2 linked regions of the Caenorhabditis elegans genome follow. The protein of the gene in region 2 purifies or fractionates together with the protein of the main gene of each other region. This does not show direct contact. Each region holds a gene or a part of one and is shown on either strand. Other genes may lie near its edges.

The links.
Region 1: the proteins of Y41E3.18 (region 2) and F53B2.8 fractionate together in Caenorhabditis elegans (co-fractionation; one large-scale study listed by BioGRID). This does not show direct contact.

Annotation. Positions count from the first base shown.
Region 1 is NC_003282.8:12,522,255-12,531,777, forward strand, and holds F53B2.8 (Coiled-coil domain-containing protein 86), read right to left. Parts: upstream 5,143-9,523; 5' UTR 4,966-5,142; coding exon 4,944-4,965; intron 4,897-4,943; coding exon 4,816-4,896; intron 4,597-4,815; coding exon 4,145-4,596; 3' UTR 3,977-4,144; downstream 1-3,976. Other genes in the region: sru-13 (Serpentine Receptor, class U), read right to left, coding at 137-367; Protein eak-4, read right to left, coding at 2,224-2,559, 2,799-2,963, 3,013-3,255; F53B2.5 (Importin subunit alpha), read right to left, coding at 6,309-6,449, 6,492-6,725, 7,044-7,117, 7,165-7,255, 7,301-7,474, 7,524-7,769, 7,930-8,067, 8,112-8,237 and 2 more.
Region 2 is NC_003282.8:15,059,096-15,071,445, forward strand, and holds Y41E3.18 (Serine aminopeptidase S33 domain-containing protein), read right to left. Parts: upstream 6,659-12,350; 5' UTR 6,622-6,658; coding exon 6,543-6,621; intron 6,409-6,542; exon of another isoform or gene 6,403-6,408; coding exon 6,217-6,402; intron 5,920-6,216; exon of another isoform or gene 5,899-5,919; intron 5,859-5,898; coding exon 5,753-5,858; intron 5,683-5,752; exon of another isoform or gene 5,662-5,682; intron 5,575-5,661; coding exon 5,424-5,574; intron 5,290-5,423; exon of another isoform or gene 5,265-5,289; intron 4,963-5,264; coding exon 4,720-4,962; intron 4,710-4,719; exon of another isoform or gene 4,685-4,709; intron 4,536-4,684; exon of another isoform or gene 4,515-4,535; intron 4,278-4,514; exon of another isoform or gene 4,256-4,277; intron 4,255-4,255; coding exon 4,018-4,254; intron 3,888-4,017; exon of another isoform or gene 3,864-3,887; intron 3,832-3,863; coding exon 3,598-3,831; intron 3,553-3,597; coding exon 3,451-3,552; intron 3,186-3,450; exon of another isoform or gene 3,165-3,185; intron 3,067-3,164; coding exon 2,978-3,066; intron 2,908-2,977; exon of another isoform or gene 2,887-2,907; intron 2,853-2,886; coding exon 2,834-2,852; and 2 more. Other genes in the region: srt-48 (Serpentine Receptor, class T), read right to left, coding at 6,771-6,830, 6,885-6,988, 7,355-7,457, 7,533-7,903, 8,262-8,357, 9,580-9,823.

The sequences.
Region 1 (9,523 bases), 2.5 Mb from region 2:
TCACAGGACACGTTCACAAATAGGTGTTAAAATTTTTTAATGAAAAATACAAAGGAACGTTTGTCGGATTTTTCTTTTTTAAATTTCTTCGGGAATTTGCGAAACCACTTTAGTTTATTTTTCTCTCAAACCCCACCGTAAGCTGAGCCATAACAATCACAAAAAATACGTGTGGATTCATAGTTGCTTCCTGTTTTCCAACCAAATTCCTATAGTAACATTTGAAAACTTTTAAAATAATAAACGCAGTTGGTACTAAGTATGTCATCGGAACACATGCAACAAGCACTGGAAATGTGAAAAAATCAAATTTATAGTCGATATATCGTTGATCTCCTTGAATTGATACATTGTTCATAATGTCCATAAATTAAAATCTCTGGAATTTTTAAATTTATTTGAAACGTCTAAAATATGTCATAAATGAGCAAGAAAAATATTAATTTGAGGAAATAGATAAAACGCAAAATTGACCAAATCCTAATTGATATGCTCATGAGTGCAGTTAAACTTAAAAAGCGCACGTTTTTCTAGACATTTCCGTTTCCAAAATAACCCAAATTATCTTGATTTGAATAATAAATTTTGCGAGGGTTAAAGACTGGAAATGTTTCATTTTGGTGATTAGATTAGGGTAAAAAAGGTGAGAAGAGAGTGCATATTTTTTGACTAAATCTGCTAAAAATAAATGTAGGTTAGAAGTTAAAATTATGCTCCTCTACATCTTTACATTAGAGCATTATTTTGTTGCCAAAAAGCTTATCTTTCCTCAAAACCTTGTTTTTTTTGCTAGAATTTTTCATTGAAAAATGTCAGGGAAAGATTACTAGACACGCAATTATGAAAACCTGGCAACACACAGTGATTCAAAACTTAGAGTAATTATGAGTAGTGCTCCTCACAAGACATATGTACAAAAGATGATGCATTTTATGAAAAAGTGTTTTAATGGTTGCAGAAAACAGAAAATGTAGAAAAACAAGGACTTTCCCGGTGGGAAATTTTGAATTGGCAAATACTGGGAATTATAAATGGTAAACAGCTCATAAAAAGGGTAATGGTTTTTGCAATATCAAATATTGGTTCCGCATAAAAAAATAGGTGAAAATATAATTATCTAACAATTGGAAAATCGGAAATCATTTTACGGAAAGCTAAGGTTGATGTTTTTTTTAAAATAACCACAATAATCTTCTCAAATTTAAAATTAAATTTTGTAAAAGTTGGAAATTCCGTTATTTGCATTCATTCATGCGTCATGAAAAGTTTTTAAAAATTAGGAAAATGTTTTTGTAAGAAATACTCAAGGTTTAAGATGTGAGTTTCCAAAAAAAATTGAAAAACTTGAAACCGTTTGAAAATCTGCTCTCAAAAACTGATTCAGATTTATGGTAACAGCATCAAGTGTGCGAAACAGCAAAACTACACGTTTTTGCTATAATTTGTTATGAAATAAAATTCAGACACACTTTGCTAGACATGACGAGCAATTGAGAAAATGTGGCATCACATGAGGTATAATTCAGGGATTCGAAGTTGGGCGTAATTATGAGTTGAGATCACCGCACGACACATGTGCTGAAAAATGTACTCGATTTTTCGAAGTTTAAGGTTTTTGTGATTACAGTCAAATATCAATACCGACGCATCAGGAAGAACAAGTAGTTTTTACTTTTTTTAGCCATATACTTTGGCTCATCATCAGACTTGGTCAGCAACCACAAAATTCTGTTCAATTGGAATATATGGTGACATAATTTAAATCTCTCAACAAGTTTCACTCAATTTTAATCTTAAATCGGATGTTTTCATTTTGAAAACAAATCTAAATTTCCAAATCTAAGGCTTATAAATTTAAAAGTTTCACATCTACTCAGGACCCATTTCTTGCCTAGGATCCTACCACGAAACCTCTTGGCCACTGTATCAAAATTATTAAAATATTGTTTTTAAATTATTTTTTTCTGTCTTTTTATTCGTCCCATGATTATACATAATATGAAAACCGAAGTTCGAAAAGTATTTTTTTCTTTACAATTGCTTCCTTTTCTATAATTCTTCTAACTCTTGGCTGTCTAGACATACATTGCAAAATTAAAGAATATTATGTATTACTGAAAAATGTTGATTTTGTTGTAGTTTTATTGAAATTCAAAAAAGACTGAACTACAGTAACTAATGGGGAAGGATAAGAAAACGGCAGAAAAAGAATGACAATAAAAATTACAACGGTGTTCCAGGATCTTCCAGCTCGTCCTCCACAAACTCTGTAATCGAGTCAGGGTTGTGCTTCAGTGCGTCCCTGTATGTCCTTTTGAAGTGAAAGATGATCTGCTCGGCCTGCATAATCTGGAAGTCCACCTTGACTTGCGCGTCTTCAAAGTTCGGATTGAAGTGCATGCCGAGACGTTGGATTGCGATTTTCAGATCCGCAAGCAGCAAGTAGGCATCTCGTGCCAGATTCTTCCGGTACTCCACGAAGCTGTCAAGGTTCCATGCCGATTCGCGGAAGAAGTGCTCGTACACTCGTCCCATTTCGTCGACGGTCAAGCGGCAGTTCTAAATATAATTAAATTTTTCATGTAAAATAGAGGTTAAGGAATTTGATCATATTGATACATTCCCGGGATCTGGCTCTAGCTTCTTGTCCAAGTTTGACCCAAAAAATATTAACTTGGATTAGAAGTTGGCTAAACTTGGGCAATAGTTGGGCATGACTTTGGCGCGCCAGAATGAATGATTTTGACAGTTACGCAACCCGTCTGATTTCCCTTAATCCCTTCCGAAATACCACTCACCATAACCTTATCAGCCAGTGGATCATCTTTTGTGTAGGCCTGGAAAATGTCTTCAAGGCCTTTGTCAAGCTCTTGAGAAGTCTCCAAAATCTTGTTGAGCGTCGCCTCATAACGATCCGCATAGATCTGAACATCCAGTTGCATTGCACGCCTTCCGGCTGGACACTGAAATTATTGAAGGTTTTTTTCAAAATTAAATTGTGAAAGATCTCACCTCAACGAGCTCACAACGAGCATCATAGAGTCGCTGAAACTCTTTCTTATCCAAATCCTCAGTCATCAACCGCGGTGCCTGTGGGAGTAGATAATAGTCGACTTGGGATCGTGCAGCCCGACGTTCGTATCTTCCTGGGGAATACCGGATAAATGCATCATGACACTGCGACTCCGGCTGAGGAATATTCGGAAACTCCTGTGACGCCATGATTCGGCGATGAACGGCAAGGCATTGTCCCATGATGGTGGGGAGGAAGTAAGAATGAATGGGGGAAATTGTCGAGATGGTCTGGGGCTGCTAATTGTTTTTTGTCTTTTTATATTTTTTGACCAATTTTTCTCAGAATTCATACATATTTTCGATAACAAGGAATACTGTAAATTAGGAAAAGGGGAAGCAATAAAAATTCGTAAAATTATAACAAAAGTGGAGTGAGACACAGAAATTTGGAAAGGGAAGTGGATTTAAATTGCTGTGGGAACAGTCTGAATTCTCCTTAAAATTTAATTTACCGGATTATGAAGAAATTTCCCAAATTCCAGTAGGCAAGCACGTTTCCTCCTACTGTATTCTTGCCTGCCTACAAGCTTGCCTACTGCCTAGGCATCTGAATTTTTGCAAACAATTAAAGGATCGGAAATAATTTTGCAAGTCTATAGGCACGTTTTGTAGGCAGGAATCAGGTGTAGGTCTCCTTACAAGGCAGATGTGAATTTTTACGAAGCAGATCGGGTCTCACTACAAAACGTGTCGGTTACTGTAGCTAGCAAGTTTTCTGAATCTTAAATTTGATCTGATAGTGAGCAGATAAAAAACGTTAGTGGGAAATGTGGTCTCACTTTGAAGATCAAGTTTCAAATTGAAATTTCGAATAAGATTGAAAAAATCTACCATAACCATTAGTTTTCATGGCGAGACCTCTCATGAATCATGATTACATTTCGAAGATTTTGGTATGCTGATTTGAAATTTGTAAATTTTGAATCAAACATTTTTTATTAACAAATAAAAACTTCAAAGTGAAAAATTCAAAACGTCCACAAATTAAATTTGACATCCAGATTCATATTCTTCTTATTAATTTTCCACTTAACAATTTTTTTTTCTTCCAAATGATCCAAAGCCCACACTAACGGCGTGAAGCAGCAGCTCTCATATCACGCAATGCTTTCGGAGCCTTATGAAGATTGGCGACTAGAGCCAAATATGGAAGACGGGGTGGTCTTGGGGCTGGTACCCGGATCTTTCTGGCTCTGGGGACTTTTGGCCCTTGTGCTTCAGAGCCTTGATGTGGTTTTTCCTTGATGCTTCTCAAAGCTTCCAACTTTTTTTGAATCTTCAGTGCTTTTCTCTCCAGTTTCTTATCTTTTTTGGCTCGTTTCTGCTCCTCTCGACTTCGTTTTAAGGTCAGTTGAAGTTCGAGTTTCTCCAATTTTTCCAGCTTTCTTTCCGGAGTGTTTTCCTTGGAGCGTACCCTTTTCTGGTGTTTCCCAACATTTCCCAGCTTGGATCTCAGTCGTTTCTTTCCACCCATGTTATTCTTCGGGGCTCTTTTCTTCCCAACTTTCACGTCATCTTTTTCTGAAATTTGCGAATCTCATTCGAGTATGTAATATAATCTGCCAAACGTAAACTAGACTTATCACATAGATTTATTACGATAATTTGCTCGTCAAATCTGTTGTTTATAAAGTTTTCGCGTCAAATTTGCGTATTTGCTATACCGTTCAGTGAACTAAAATTTTCCGAACACTACAATCGACGCTCAACACTAAAAGTCAAATGTAATTCCTTACTAACCTTGCGTACTCATAGCATCTCCCAAATCCTCCTCCGGCTCCACCTGTGGCTCCTCCACCTTATTTCTCTTAAGCTTTCCCACTGTAAATTTGAGCATTTTCAAATTTTTCTCGACTTTAAAAACTTACACAACTTCTTGCCCATTGGCATTTTCAGTTCAAAGCAATTGATTTTAGCAGTACAAGTAACCACTGAAATTGCAGGCACTGAGGAGGGTTTTTGTATCAATTTCTTATCAAAGAGTTTTTATCATCAATAATGTTTATAAGTGTGGAATTCTGAAATAGTGATGTTGACTATGAGTAAGGTAGTATTAAAATTGAAAATGTCATGTGAAATGGGAATGTTGACAGGAAAGATTATTGGAAAGTATGGGGAAATCGTGAGACCCAGAGGGAAAAGATGGGTGACGGGATTGCGAAATCAAAGTGTTGAAATTTTTAACTACAAAATTCACTAGAAATATGCTTAACAAATATTACACCCAAAGCATTTCAGCATTTCGAAAATTTTAACTTAGGCAATGTTTTAAATTTTTTAATATTCGAAATTTTCATTAACATTTGATTTTTTCAGACTACTGCCAGGTACAGCAACCCTCGGTTTTTACTGTGTGACCAATTTTTATCGATGACATAAAGTTATGGTATATTTATATTCAAATTTAAGTTTTTAAGTTTTCTGATTTTTAATCTTATGAATTACTATACAATTCAAGATTTAAAACATCTAACAGCTCATCGTCGTCGTTCAACATCTCCCCAACTCAAATTCAAATCTAGAAAAAGTGCTTTTGTTCCTTACAAAAACCGCCAAAAGGAATGAGTAACAGATTGTCATATCACTATCCCATCACATTGCCGCCGGAAATTGGCAAATAGAAAAGGACGACGGGTATTTGAATTCAAACTGGAAAACATTTTTGTAGTTGGAAGAGTCGAATAGTTTTGGCAAAGTTAATGCAAATCTACCTAAAAACCTAAAAGAGATGTTATAATAATTGTGTATTTGTAAAAATCATGGAAGCCGACACTTTACTGATCATATTTAACTTTAAAAAAATCCTTTTTCTCACATTTTGTTGCCTGAAAACTTGAAATATTTTAGGAGTGAAGAAATTTGGAAAAAATCAATTACCGGTAATTACCCCCTATGTTCCAAAAACATTTAAAATCCTCTTTCCCCCATTCCTAATCCATCTATTCATCATCATCTCATCAATTGTTTATGCACCTGTTCAGGAAGTGCACATAACATCTAATTGTCCAAAAAGAGTACACAAACCGGTAGAAAAATCGCAGTTGAAGAGCCAGTAATCTGTCAGTAATCTGATTGGAATTCGAGTGAACAAATAAAAACAGGTGTATTGGAAATGTTCAAGTAATTTTAAATATCACAGAAACGTAATTAGACAACATTTTCTGCTGATTGATGGGTTGATATTTTAAACCTACACAATCAAAATTCGTATTTTTATTTTCAAACGAGTAAATTCAAATGCTCATGCTGTGAAAGTCGTCTGAGAGCTTGCTGTAGCAAATCACAGAACATCCTTTGGCAATATCTTCATCTTTCCGTTCAGGTGGCGCCAAGTCATTCATCAAAGATTTCAGTTCGGCTTTTTGAATCGAAAACTGAAACACACGGATTGTTAAGTCTAAGGATATTCAACTAACGTTTGCTCCAGCTCTCTCAATACATCCCAAAATATCCAAACGTTGGAACAATGTGTACTGCCATGGATGCTCACGGAGCAGTTCAGTTGCAGTTGTCGCCGCCTTTTCATTCAAACGAACATCATCAAAATCGAGAAGAGCTGGAAAATGCTGTACTATTCCTAAGGAGACGAGAAGATACGTTTGATGCTCATCTGCAGTTGCCAATAGATTTCCAATAATCCACAGACATTCCTGAAATAACCATAGATAATTTCTAAGCTCGAAAATAAATTTTGTTTCAAAAGATGTGTTCAAAGCTAACTACAGTATTGTCTCTATTGTACTTGCACCCTCATTAATTCACTTTGACGGCTCATATCTTGACTGTCTCAAGTGTTATCAAACAATTTCACTATCAAAACGTAGAAAAACATTTTGCACGTATTTCTTCAGTTGACAATTTTTTGATAAAACGGAAGTGAATCGAGATATATGCCCTGTCAATGTAAAACAATGGTGGTGCATGTCTAATAAATAAAATACTGTTCATATAATTTTATATCAGCTTACCTTTCTCAAGCGTTTGTCTCCAGTATGAATCCCAGCCATCACCCATTCATAGAAAGCATCTGGATCATCCATTACTGAAAACATAGATCCTATTCAGTAATCAAATAAATATAAAACTAACTGTAATCCACGTGTCTTGGAGCACCGGCAACAACGTTTGATATGATCCATGCGGCTTCACTGTGATGCTCCGGAGATGACATTGCAATATTCTGAAAAAATATTTTTAATTTTCAATTTTGATGTCAAAAACGTACCATAACAACTCTAAACTTGGGATTATCAACCAACAGATCAGTCTGAACATCATTCCCGACTGCAATATTTCCAATAAGGCGGAGGCATGAAACATTGCATGACTTGTCCGTTTGATCAATAAATTTTTCGAGAATATGCTCAACAACGTAGTTTTGGGAAAGAAGCATGTCGATCTGAAAGTTTTAGTAAAGAACTTTGATTAACAATAATCCGAAAACAAACCCGTGTGGTATCTAGTGAGTTGTCAACCAAATTGGCAAGAGTCCATAAAATCATTGAACCACATCCCATATTATCGACAGCGTCTGTGTCGAGTAAAATTGCAGACAAAGCACAAATAAGTGAACGAGCTACTGGTGATGGCATCGTTGTTCGGCCACCGGAAAAAATATTATTGACACACCAAATGAGTTGGCGTCGGTCTGCATCGTCGAGTTTATACGACGTTTGTAAGTTTCTGGCGAGTATCTGAAGTTGGAATTTATTTAGACATGGTAGACAGGCATGCTTTCAAAGGCCAGACGCTTGCCTGAAGCGCCTGCCTAAAGCGCCTAAATGCAGCCGTAACAGTTGTTTTCATTTGTGCTGTGGATGGATTCTAAAATGTCCTACAAACCCTTATAATTACCTTCAAAAGTTTAGGTGATCTACATTTCAATTTGCACGAAGAACAATCAGCTGCAATATTTGCAATTGCCCAAACAGTTTGACTTGAGAGACGAGCGTTTTGAGACCGAACGAGTTTGATCAAGATATCTAGACAATTCTGAAAAAAAAACAATTTTCCTAAAAATCAATTTTCAGACTGACCGAGTTTACAAACAAGTGAGTAACTTCCTGGCTAATACAACACATATTAGTGATAATCCAAACAGCGTTAACCTCACTGTCAATGTCTAACGTTTGATTACGAAGAGCATTGAGAACGCCATTCTTCTAAAAAAAAGAGTTTGAATTAATTGAAACAATTTCGTCGGAACTAACAATTCTTCCATAAAACTGCTCCTTCAGAGCGATGTTCGATAAATCTGACTGATTGGCAAAAGCTTTACGAAAAAAGTGTAGAGCTGTGGACAGTTGAATACGGCATGAGGATTCGAGCATTGAGATGATAAAGGAAATGTCAAATGTTGCTGATTGTTCAGGTTGGGAATTCTGTATAAAAATTGAAGTATAGATAGAAAGTTGCCGTCCGAGTGAGGCTAACAAGTCGGACGTTATGCTTTTTTTTGGCTTTCCTTTCTGCGTATCAGATTTTTTTGAATTTCATTATAGCGAGCCAACACTGTGTATTTTGAGATGGAAGTGCAATTGTGCTCCAATGTCAAATGAAAACGGTCCCATCCATAATAAGAAATCGAGATCACAGTTTAACATACATAACGACCACCAAATTATGGTTTTCAATTTGCGTTGGAGCGCGAGTGCAACTCAACTACAAAAAATTCAGGTTTTGCCCCGCCAAAAAAATCATTCTTGGTAAACCATTGCAGCATAAAAAAAGAGAAACATCCGATTTGCCAGCCGTCTGATTCTGATATACTCTTACCATTTCCTGCTTCGCTTTCTTTGTAGATTTAACCATATTCTCCGCGAGTGTAAAACAGAAATAAAGTTATATTGATTTCATTGGAAGTTCCACGTGTTTGTTTGCACGTATGAGAAAATCCGAATGGAATATCGCGTGGAAGAATTGCAGTGATTTTGAGTGAATTTTTTAAAATTTAATTATCTAATACACTTCTTATTAAAATATATTTGAACTTTCTTATAGTTAGTGTAAGCAGAAATCCCTGCAAAGAGAATTTGTGAATTTTCAATTTTCCCACTTTACACAACATGTTCCAAATCTAATGCCCGTTCATAACCTAGGTCACTAGGTTTTAGCACTTAGCAGACAACAAGTGTGAATCTTCCCTATTCTTAGTTTAAATTTCTCTTCTTCTCTTCCCACGATTCTCCGGGATCAAGTGTGACTTTCCCTCGATCTACCAACAAGTATCTAGAACGATGCCAACTTAATACATAAATAACATACGCCAAATTGTGTGTTCCTCTCGGTTCCATCTATAGATACCTATCTCCTGTGAAGCTGTCAATTAATCGAGGAAAATTTGGCAAGATAGAACGTGGAGCGATGAAACGCAGACAGTAGAATTTGTGAATTTTTAGAGGTCGAATGTGTGTTCACACAAGTTCTTGAAAAAAGATTTTATCTTGAG
Region 2 (12,350 bases):
TTCTAAAGCTCTAAGCTCAATTTTTCTGAACATTCCAGAATTTTCTCGATTTTTCTAGAAAGTTCTGGAACATTCCAGAAATTTCCCGACTTTTCTAGAAAGTTCTGGAACATTCCAGAATTTTCTCGATTTTTCTAGAAAGTTCTGGAACATTCCAGAATTTTCTCGATTTTTCTAGAAAGTTCTGGAACATTCCAGAAATTTCCCGATTTTTCTAGAAAGTTCTGGAACATTACAGAAATTTCCAGATTTTTCTAGAAAGTTTTGGAACATTCCAGAATTTTCTCGATTTTTCTAGAAAGTTCTGGAACATTCCAAAATTTTCCCGATTTTTCAAGAAAGTTCTGGAACATTCCAGAAATTTCCCGATTTTTCTAGAAAGTTCTGGAACATTACAGAAATTTCCCGATTTTTCTAGAAAGTTCTGGAACATTCCAGAATTTTCCCAATTTTTCTAGAAAGTTCTGGACCATTCCAGACTTTTCCCAATTTTTCTAGAAAGTTCTGGAACATTCCAGAAATTTCCCAATTTTTCTAGAAAGTTCTGGAACATTCTAGACTTTTCCCAATTTTTCTAGAAAGTTCCGGAACATTACAGAAATTTCCCGATTTTTCTAGAAAGTTCTGGAACATTCCAGAAATGTCCCGATTTTTCTAGAAAGTTCTGGAACATTCCAGAATTTTCCCAATTTTTCTAGAAAGTTCTGGAACATTCCAGAATTTTAGAATTTTCAGAAAATTTCAATTTCCCGCAAAAATATTTTTCACAGAAAATTTAAATTTCCCTCCAAAATATTTTTCACAGAAAATTTAAATTTCCCTCCAAAATATTTTTCACAGAAAATTTAAATTTCCCGCCAAAATATTATTCACAGAAAATTTAAATTTCCCGCCAAAATATTTTTCACAGAAAATTTAAATTTCCCTCCAAAATATTTTTCTCAGAAAATTTAAATTTCCCGCCAAAATATTTTTCACAGAAAATTTAAATTTCCCGCCAAAATTTTGGGTTTGGGTCTCACCACGACGGGTCTCGTCACGATGGGTCTCACCACGATGGGTCTCGCCACGATGGGTCTCACCACGATGGGTCTCGCCACGATGGGTCTCACCACGAAGGGTCTCACCACGAAGGGTCTCGCCACGAAGGGTCTCGTCACGATGGGTCTCACCACGATGGGTCTCGCCACGATGGGTCTCACCACGATGGGTCTCGCCACGATGGGTCTCACCACGAAGGGTCTCACCACGAAGGGTCTCGCCACGAAGGGTCTCACCACGAAAGGTCTCACCACGAAGGGTCTCACCACGAAGGGTCTCACCACGAAGGATCTTACCACGAAGGGTCTCACCACGAAGGGTCTCACCACGAAGGGTCTCACCACGAAGGGTCTCACCACGAAGGGTCTCACCACGAAGGGTCTCACCACGAAGGGTCTCGCCACGAAAGGTCTCGCAACGAAGGGTCTCACCACGAAGGGTCTCACCACGAAGGGTCTCGCCACGAAGGGTCTCACCACGAAGGGTCTCACCACGAAGGGTCTCACCACGAAGGATCAAACCACGAAGGGTCTCACCACGAAAGGTCTCGCCACGAAAGGTCTCTCAACGAAGGGTCTCACCACGAAGGGTCTCGCCACGAAGGGTCTCACCACGAAGGGTCTCATCACGAAGGGTCTCACCACGAAGGATCTTACCACGAAGGGTCTCACCACGAAAGGTCTCATAGGTTTTTTATAAGTAAATGACTTAAAAGTAACAGGTTTTCCAAAAAATGGAAATTACAAGTTCATCAAAATTTGACTGATTGATTTTATTCCAGATAATCAATCTACCGGTCATTGTGAATTCACAGAATAAATAAGTTCACAACATTATTTTTCACTATTCATAAATGGCAACATTTATTTTTTAGTAGAAAACAGGTTTAAGCGTTTTTTTTTTTGCTCTTCAACACTCAATTGTTGCTTCGGTTCAAGCTTTTTGTCATTTTCTGCTTATTTTTCTGCATATTCATGGCGTTTCAAAAATTCCTAAATCTGAAATTCCCTAAAAATCCGAATATTGGAATTTCATATTCACAAAGGTTTATTCATAAGCAATTTCCAATATTAAATGCAATTTAATTAAGATCTGTTTCACGTTGTCGACAAGTTGGTCAGCCTTATTTCTTCATGCTCCGCTTTATTTTTGCATTCTTCTCCTTTCTTTTTTTCTTCGCCTCCTGGAAATACATTAATTAATTGATTAATCTCGAAAAGTTTCTATAAATTTGAATACCCACTTACATTCTTTTGGTCTTCTGTCATGTTTGCCCGCCTTTCTCTTTCTCGCTCATTTTTAATTAATTTTTTTCTGCCGCTTCACCTTCTCCTTAAGACGCTCCTCCCCCTATAGGCTCAATATATTTCTTTGTGAGCGATTAACAAATACATTAATTTTGGTGATAAATAAAAATTTACAGATTGTAAACGCTGAATAAAGGGGGAGGGGAGTGGAGAAAAGAGCACAAGAAATTGAGAGAGAGAGCGAGAAAAAAAAAGAAAAGAAGGAAGGACTGCAAAAGGACTGGAAATTGTTTTAAAAGATTGTTGGGATGGAGGAATATAAATTGATTTGTGCGGAAAACTTGCCAGATAATCAAAAATGACACCGACTAAGAAAAAACTCAAAATATAGCAGACACCAAAAAAGGCTGCATCTCGCTATGTGCCTTCTATTAATTTTTTAGTCTTGAGAAAAAAATGTGAGTAAAACATGTTGATCAATATTGTTCGATTTACGAAAATTTATTTGTAGTGAATCATAAAAATCGATCAAAAGGTTCAATTCGTCACTTCAAGTTGAGTTCTCTGAAATAAAATAGTTTTTATCACATTTTTTTGGAATTATTTTGTCACTAAGTGATCAAAAAAACAATAATTCAAGCGTCTCAAAAATTCTATCTGAAACAGTAATTTTCTTCAAAAAAACGAACACTTTGACAAATCTCCGAACTCTTCTCCAAACCTCTCTACAGTTCTCAACATTGTCGTGAGCCGCTCCTGGAACCCATTCTGGAGCCACCTGCAATTTCGAGCAATTAATTATAATTTAAGAATTTGATGGATATGAAAACATGCAAAATACTGATTACGGTTAAGCTTTTTGTTTTACATTGACAACTGAACAAGTGGGTGCAGTGAACAAGAAAATATCATAAGCTACATATTAAACAACTACACTGAAACAGTGGAAATTTTTTTTCTGAATTTTTTCATGTTGCTTTCAATTTTGATGCCTAAATATTTTGCTCACAAGATAGAAACGACCACTTTTCCGCAGACCCAAATTTGGCCCCAAAAACAGGAATTTTGCAGAGCACCGGACATCTAACGGGCTCGGCCGCAGCTGATGCATAGTGTGTGGTGAAGCCCGGAAAATGTCGGGTGCTGTTCATTTCAAGTTTACCTTTGTAATTGCCCGTTGACAAATCAATTTTCCGTGTTCAACTGGCACCGTTTTGTCCGCTTTCCCATGAATAACAAGAATTGGAATTTGAATTTCGTGAATCTGAATTACTTTTTTTTCTAAAAAAATTTTAAAAAAAGTTTCAACCTTATCAATAGTCACAAATCGATCGATACAACACGTCTTTTTCTCCAAATGTTTCGTCCTTCCCATCATTCCACCAATTACTCTTAATATCGATGTGGGCGGAGCTTGAAGTATTACTCCGGCGGGCTTTTGGTCCTGTTCATGACGTAGTAGTTCTATGGTTGCAGCTGAGCCAATGGAATAGCCGAGGAGCACTATCTTTTTTGGATCCACACGTTTTTCAAGGGTTATGTGCTGAAACAGGGAAAAATTGAAGAGAATATATTTGAAAGCAATGGAAAACCAAACCAACAGTTTGTTTAAAATCTCAAAACATTTATAAAATACCTGAAACGGTAATTTTTCACAAACTCTATTATTCTCAAATATTGGTCAATTTTGGCTCAAAAATGATTTTTTTTTCAATATATAAAAAGTTACCTCGTAAATAGCTTGAATATCAGAATACAGATTGGATTCACTTGCAATACCTCCACTAATACCGTAACCAGTGTAATCATAACTATAAACTTCACATCGATAGAATCTTGCAATGTCAATCAGTGATGGAATTCCAATTAAATGATCCGATAGATCTGAGCCATTTGGATGAGAATATAGAAGAGTGAAACGAGGTGCAAAACCATCTGGACATCCTACATACACACATCCTATTTTCTGCAATATTTATCGATTTGCCACTAAAAATATAGATTAATGCAAAATTTGAAAACTAGTTGAAACAGTCAAAAAGTTAAAAACAATTATTTTAGTGAATTTTTTCTCTTTTTATAAAAGTAATTACGACAATTAATTTGAGATTTTTTTTAGGCCGCCTAAAAACAAGAAAAATTTGGAAACTGGTCAGTCACCAGATACCGACTATTAAAAATTGATACTTTATGAAAAAAGTACGCTCAAAAAATTCCAATGTTTTCAAAAAAGATCTCCCTCATGTAATGTCATAGCTTTTTTTTCCCAAATACACAAACTTTGTGAAACCGACAATAAATTTAATGTGAAACCACTTTTAAATCAACATAGATTATGTTTCAAAAATTACAGTTTCACATTTTCCATATATATCTATAAAATAATTAGGTATTAGTCAATACTCCACTGTACACCCCCTCCCCCACTCACATTTTTATTCTTCGTCTTCAACACAAAACCTCGAACATATTTGACGTCATCAGCACACGGATGACTCAATCCAAATTGATAATATTCTCCAATTACACATTTCTTTGCTTTTTTCAACTTTTTCAATTTCTTTTTTCGGTTTTGCATAAGAATTGCCTCGGCTTCATCGTTCACCTCAATTATGACGTCATCTGGTGGAGGTTTGAAGAAATAATATTCACGACGGGGTGGCCAGAATGCGGACTGTAATTTAAATTTATTTGAGAATTTTAAAATTTCTAAGAACTTTAAAAATCTAATAAATAAAATAAAAACTAAAATCTTAGAAAGTCGTTTCATAAACAAAATGAAAATTGTTCTGCTGTTCACATGTGCATTTTATTGTGAAAAAATAAAACTTTCTCAAAATTTTGTGATAAAATTAAAAAATAATTTGCCTGGGTCTAGAAAACTAGAAATATTCAGACAGTTTTACGGTTTTTTTTTAATTTGAAAAGTTTTCTGTTTCAAGAAAAATATAAGTTAACTACTGAAAAATTATCTGTTCGATCTATAGATGACATTCAAAAAATCTAATTGTGATTTGCTAACTTAATGCGAAATTAAACATTTTTGTAGCCCGACATCTGCCGGGTTTTTCCTATGAACATATCCATTCACAGAACCCGCCAACGGTCGGGCGCTACCCAAAAATTCAAACTCACTCTCTGAATAATACAGCAGCACGGTGGACAGCAGGCGACAAACACGACATGTTTAACACGATGCCATGTACCTTTAAATCTGTCAAATGCGTCAGTGATACGGTAGCAACGTGGCAATGGACATACACAGATTCGCTGCAGTTTTTTGGCTCTGAAAATTGGAAGAATTATGGAAATTTTAAATAAAAATTTTCGGTTTCAAAGTTGACGTATTTTCAGAATTATCTTTTTCTGATGATAAAGACTGTATATTTTTTGAGTTATCAATATTGGCAGAATAATTACAGAGAAACAAAGTAGTGTAAATTTTAGAATTCAATTCTTCATACCTGCATTTTTCAATTTTCTCCAAAAACCAATCCTCATCTCTCAGTGTTCTATCATTCTTCACTACGTCTGCATCGACATTCACAGCTCCTTCTTCAAGCTCGTTTTCTGGAAAAATGAATCACATTTTATCTTTTTTGGACAGCGCAATTATAGGCCAATTTCACTATTAAAAATCAGTTAAAATAATCAAAATTTGAAAATATTGTGAAACCGACGACGTGCCCGAAGCTTTAATCTAAGTACAAAGAAGCTAGCCAATGAAGAAAAACTGCTGAATTGAAAATTGCTGGTAATAGACTTGATAAATGACTTTTGACTTTTCGAAACTGTCGATTTTTTTTTGCATTTTCGAAAAATATTCTGAATCAAAATACCTTGGAATCACAAAAAATTGTTCTTGAAAATATATTAAAATGGATTCAGAAAAACCAAATAATTTAAATTGAAATTCCCGCCCACTCACTTTTGTACTGTACTCTTCTCGATGAATATCCAGACAGAATCACTGCGTTTCGATGATTTTCACTTCTATTTTCTCCGTCGATTTTCAATTTTTGAGAGGTTTCAGAGAATTCTTGCGTTTTATCAAGTGATAACAGAGATTTGTTTATCGATTTTTGACGAGTAGGACTTCTATTCGCTGGAACGGCTGTAATTATGATCTCATCAAAAAAGAAATGAATACGAAAAGTTTGAAACAGTAATCTTTTGTTAAAAACTTTTTTCTGACAAATTCTGAAACTGCAATCAAAACTCAAACTTCCTCTCTGTAAAAGCAAAAAAACTTACATTTTCTGGACTTTTCCTCAAACAACTTGACACCTGACTCCACATTTTTCTGCTTCGGATCTTTATTTGATTTCGACATTCAAGAAAATTAATTTAAAAATATTGAGAAATGATTCAAAATTTGTTTTTTATTTCAAAATGAACAAGCAAAATAAGAATAAAAAAATAAGTAGACTTTGACGTTTTGAATAGAAACATAATGAACTTTGGCACAGTGCCAAGTTGTGTTTATATGTTGTTATTAGTGTTGGTAACTGCTACAGAAACTGCTGTAGTATCTTCGACGCGCTGAAATTAAAAAAAAACTTAAACTAATAATTTTTATGATAAAATGAAAATTACTGTTCCATTAAAAAGCAATTTCCGGAACCCTTTCCGAATTGTGTCGTTTATTGTGATGTAGATAAGAGCCGGACAGCCGTGATTTACACACCAACAGTACTGACCTGGAAAATTGAATTTTCGGAAAAAAATGTACTGTTTCAGAAAACCAACTTAAATGTTTTCGAAGTTTGGGTGCAATTCGATATCTTGACAAGTCACAATTTAGTTCTTCAAAAAAAAAAACAAGAAATAATCATTGTTTCAAAACTTTGAAATAAATTCATTCAATTTTTTCGTTTGTTTTTTGGCCTATGATGATGCAAAGAAAACTTCATATTATTTTTCGGAAAACGGAGATTTTTTACTGTTTGAAACTTTTTGAATTTTAAAATCCGAATTTTATTTTTCAGAATTTAAAAATGTTCTCCTTTTTTCCTAACAATTTCCAAAACATTTTTCAAATTTTAAAACTTCCCCTCAAAACCTACCTAAAAGTAAAACCCAGGGATCCGGTGTGATAAGTGTAAAAGAGTTGTAAATCAGTGCACATGTAGTGTTAAAGAAACAAATTATTATGCATTGAACAAGAATCTGCAATTTTTATTTTTTAGTTTTTAGTGAAACAGGAAAATAAAAAAAATATTTCAAAAAAAAAATCCAACTCACCGCAGTGGAGGCTTTCGACTTCTGTCCTCTTGCAATTTTTCTCACTTTCAAAAAATAAATGACATATAACAAAACCATCGCCGTCACAAAAATCCAATTATGCCATCCTTGAGATCTATTCTTATAATATTCAGCTGCTTCTTTACTGGGCTCTTTTTCAGAAAATGGATCTGGAAACCATGCCATTCCACCAGAATTGAAGCATAATGTTGGTGTAAAGAATACATAATAGAAACCGTAAATAATACTAAGAATTATGGAAAAATATGCAAGTTTTGCTTCGATTAGGTCGGAATATTGGGGAAGGGTTATGTTGACAATTCGGTTGATGAAGAGGAATAGGGTACATGCACAGGATGTACACCATGTTGCTGAAAGATAAGAGTGGGTTACTGTAGGATTACTGTCGGACTACTGTAACCAAATTATGCATTTACAGCGGGGTTATCCGTTACTGTTACAGTCTTTTTGAGAAATTACTGTTTGCTTGAAGTAGTAGGACGATTGTAGATTTACAATAAAATATTGTTAGGTGATAGATAACTTTTGAATGAAATCAGTGAACGATTAATATTGGGTTACTGTGGACTGTATCAAAGCTAACGTAAAAAAATCCAGTTTTAAAAAGTAGTAAAAATAAGAAGTTGGCATGTTTCATGATGTCTTCAGAAATAAGCTAATGCCGATTTCACTATTATGTAGGCTATAGGAATTCCCATGAAAACTTACTCAATACAATTGTGCCAGTTATATAAATGAAACTCGGATAGGAACAAAACACGGCTCCTTGAATAAATAGACTTCCACTGATGAAACAGCTGCACACTGAAAAATATTTTTACTGTTTCAGAATGTTGATTTGAACAATTTGGATAATTAACTGCAATGTGAAGCGAGATTGTTCAACAAAATATTATAAATTTATTAATTAATCAGAGTACGCGATCGACCTTCATAAGTAACTAAAATACACAGAAAATTTGAACTTAAAATTGATAAAAATAATAATTGAAATTTTTTTTTGAAATGTTTCAATTAGTTTTTACATGTTCTTTTGAATATTTCCTTAAATTTTGACCAAATTGAAAACAAAAACACAAATGGAAAAAAAATTATTTTGGGTATCAAAAATGAGAAAAAAACCTAAACAGTTTAAAATTTTCAATTATAAAAAAAAAATACAAAAACTTTGAAAGAAATGAATTGTAACAAATATTAATTACATTTTTATTGTTGTATTGAAAACTGGAAAAAATTTATAAAAATTGTTTCAACTGTTTCAGAATGTTGATTTGAATAATTTGAATAATTAACTGCAATTCGAAGGTCAACAAAATATTATTATTAATTTCTGATTGTGAGAGATTGTGTTTGACCCTCATAAGGAATTGAAACACACATAGGCACTGAAATTCACACGTGGTATTAGACTGTCCCATTACAGTTTCATCTACAAAAATGCGGGAATTTGTTGGCAGAAAAATTGTGACGTCATCACGTTCTTAACCATGCAAAATCAGATGAGGTGCCTGCGTCTCACCTTCCGCATTTTTCGAAGATCAAAGCAAAATGGGACTTTATAACTCCACGTGAGTTCAAAGTTATTTTGAATTTTAACAAAATTGAAAAATGTGTGAATTGTTTCAATTAGTTGATAATTTTTCTTTGAAGTTTTCATTAGGCATTTCCATAATGAAAATACCCTTCGATAATAATTTTTCATTGCTATCAAAACAAAAAAAACCTTAACAGTTTAGAACCTAAAATGAAGCGCACCTTGTTTATTGAACTTAAAATGTGGTACATAGTTTTCAATTATAAAAACTGTGAAAATGAAAAAAAAAACGTTCAAAGATGAATCGTCACACAACTCTTAATTAAATTTTTTTATTGTACTGAAAACTGGACAAATATAATTAAAAATTTTTCAACTGTTTCAGAATGTTGATTTGAATGCTTTGGCTAATTGACAGCGTTAAACAGGACTTAATCTACATACTGAATTTTGTTAAAGAGCAAAACCTTAAATAAACTCAATGAAACATACCAGTAGCAATCATATCAATAATTGACAGAAATACAATAATTTTATAGCAAGAATGCCTTATCAGCTTTGTTTTAAAAATTAAATAAATAATCGGTGGATACAGAAACTCGATAAAAACTCCAAAAATCATAATAGAATAACCAAGAAATGGACGTTTGACTCCAGTTTCAAACCATTCAGATTTCCAACTACAATTGTAAAAAGGAATTGCTTCAACACTACCGTAGTACAGAAGACGATTCATTTTCATAGATTTTGGTGGAAATTTTTGATTTATATAGTCTTGATCATTGCTGTATGTTTTTGTGATTTTCCATGAATTGAAATTCCTAGAAAAACATCAAAACAAATATATTTTTCCAGTTATGAAGTTCTCTTGAATACCATCAAATTTTCTATAAAATAGACAATTCAAATGGAAAGTCTAGACCATTTTTCTGATAAATTGGTAACTTGACTTCCTAAGTTACAAAAAAATAAGTTTTCAAACCTGCTCTATTGACAAACCACCGTGAACTCTACTAGATAGTTGTGTGTTAGTTGGAACCTAAATATTTGTTCAATTTTTAAACAATTTAAAGTAAAATCCAATCGTTTTTAAAACGATCACAAAATTTGAAATTTCAAAAATGATTTTTTTTTCAAAAATAAAGACTTCCTTTACAATTTTTATATAGTTTTTTTAGAATATAAAATGAAACATTACATTAGAATGAAGTTGGTCAATATTATACTGAGAATTTAGAAAGGAATGGTAACTTCATTGATTGGCACACAAATATTTTTACATTTTTGATGATGTCTTATAAGTTTCAAAAACTTTACTGGTTATTGTTCGAGACATCGTGGAAAAATAAAATTGACATTCAAAATGTGATGTACAGAAGCAATCACAATGCAACATTGGAAAAAATGGATATCACTGGTGGAAATTGGTTTTTAAATGAATTTACTGTTTCAAAAAGTTTCTGAAAATGAAAGTTAAAAAATCCAGTAATGTTCTGAGTTCTATATTGGGAATTAATTTTGCATTATTGATTCAAAAAGTAATATTTTCGGTTTTCTGAATTGAAATTTACCAAAATTATCTTACAGTTTCAAATGTTTATCTTAATTTTCGAAATGATCAAGTGTTGTTAGTCATCATTTGACGTAACTATTCTAAAGCTATTTTTTGGTAAAAAAAAATGTTCTGTTTCTGCATTAGCTCTTAAGATTAAACATTTGAAATTCATCATTCTCTTCACATCTCTGTCTCCACAATTTTTTTCAATAACTTGCTGCAATTATTCATGTTCCTAAATTCCATGAAAACGTCTTCCATTCTGACATCCTTGTTATTGGCACAAAATGGTGTTGAATAAGAGTAATTTGGGGAGAAATGGCGAGAATAAATAATGATGGTTGATGGATGTCTGATGATGACTAAACTTCCGTGAATAGAAGGAGTAAATAATCAAAGATTTCTGGTCGAAAAGTGTTTAAAAGGAAATTTGAAATCGTCTAGTATGGTGATCTACAACAAAGTTTTTACTGTTCCTTCCGGCAATTTTTTGTTAGAAAAATGTATTAAATGAAATTTAAATAACATATTCTAAAACTAATAAAATGTATTAGTTTCAACTCATCAATCCCGATCATAAAATTTCTGATATAAAATTTTTTCACTGTTTCCAGCTTTTTACATAAAACAAGAGTTGAACGTTGTTCCGTTTTTTTTTAACTGTACATTTTCCATAGAGTTAAGCAAAAAATTTGATTACTAATGCCAATTTTTATCACTAAAACTATTGAAAACTCATTGAAAAGTGGAGCGCATATAATTTCTGGACAATTCTAGAAAAATTTGAAATTTCAAAAAAAATTTCCCTTTTTTCTAGAAAGTTTCAAATCCTTTTAACTTTTTTATGAAGATATGACAGTTTATTTCATTCGTCAATACACTCACAAGTAACTAAGTCACTAAGTATGTCACGAGTATTAATGGATGAAATAAATTGTCATATTTTCATAAAAAATTAATGATTTGAAACTTAAAAAAAAAAAAAAGAAAGTAGTAAAACTAAAAAATTACAATCCATATACTGTAGATTTCAAACAGTAAATTTTCGAAATTTTGAATTTTGGTGTCATATAAGTTAGTAAGTTAGTGTTGTATACCACCTTCTAGAAAGAGCTGAATCAAAATAGCAACTATTTCACAATTATCAATATTTTCCAAACTGAACTGCATTATACGTTGGGTAGACACAGAAAACGGCTCCCATCATCAAAAGGTGAGTGATAAGATATGCAGTTGCAGTCATCAATTTTAAAAATATTAAGATCTTGTAACACATATTCTGATAAAATGAATATCAAGTAGAAAATTGGAAAATATTGAAATTTAAAAACAATTATGTTTCAATCAGTTTTCAAAAAAAAAACTTTTGCTTTTAGAATGCAATTTTAAGATTCTCTCTATTTTTGTTTAAAAATTGCAAAACTGATTGGCCTTTTACGTTCGTATCTAGTTTCCTAGTTTCTAGTAGTTCCAGTTAGTAGAACTAGTTTTCCAGATAATCTACCAAGAAGTTTTTATACAAAATTAACTTTCGAGGAAAAACAGACAGAGGATTACGAGGACCTAATTCATCGTCCATAGAACATCATTCAGAAGCAGGTTTTTTTTGTGAATTTAAGAAATTCATTTTTAAACTTTTTTATGATGACAGATTGTGTCTATATTTGTTTCAAGAATTTAAAAATAATATTCATTAAAACGTAGTCTT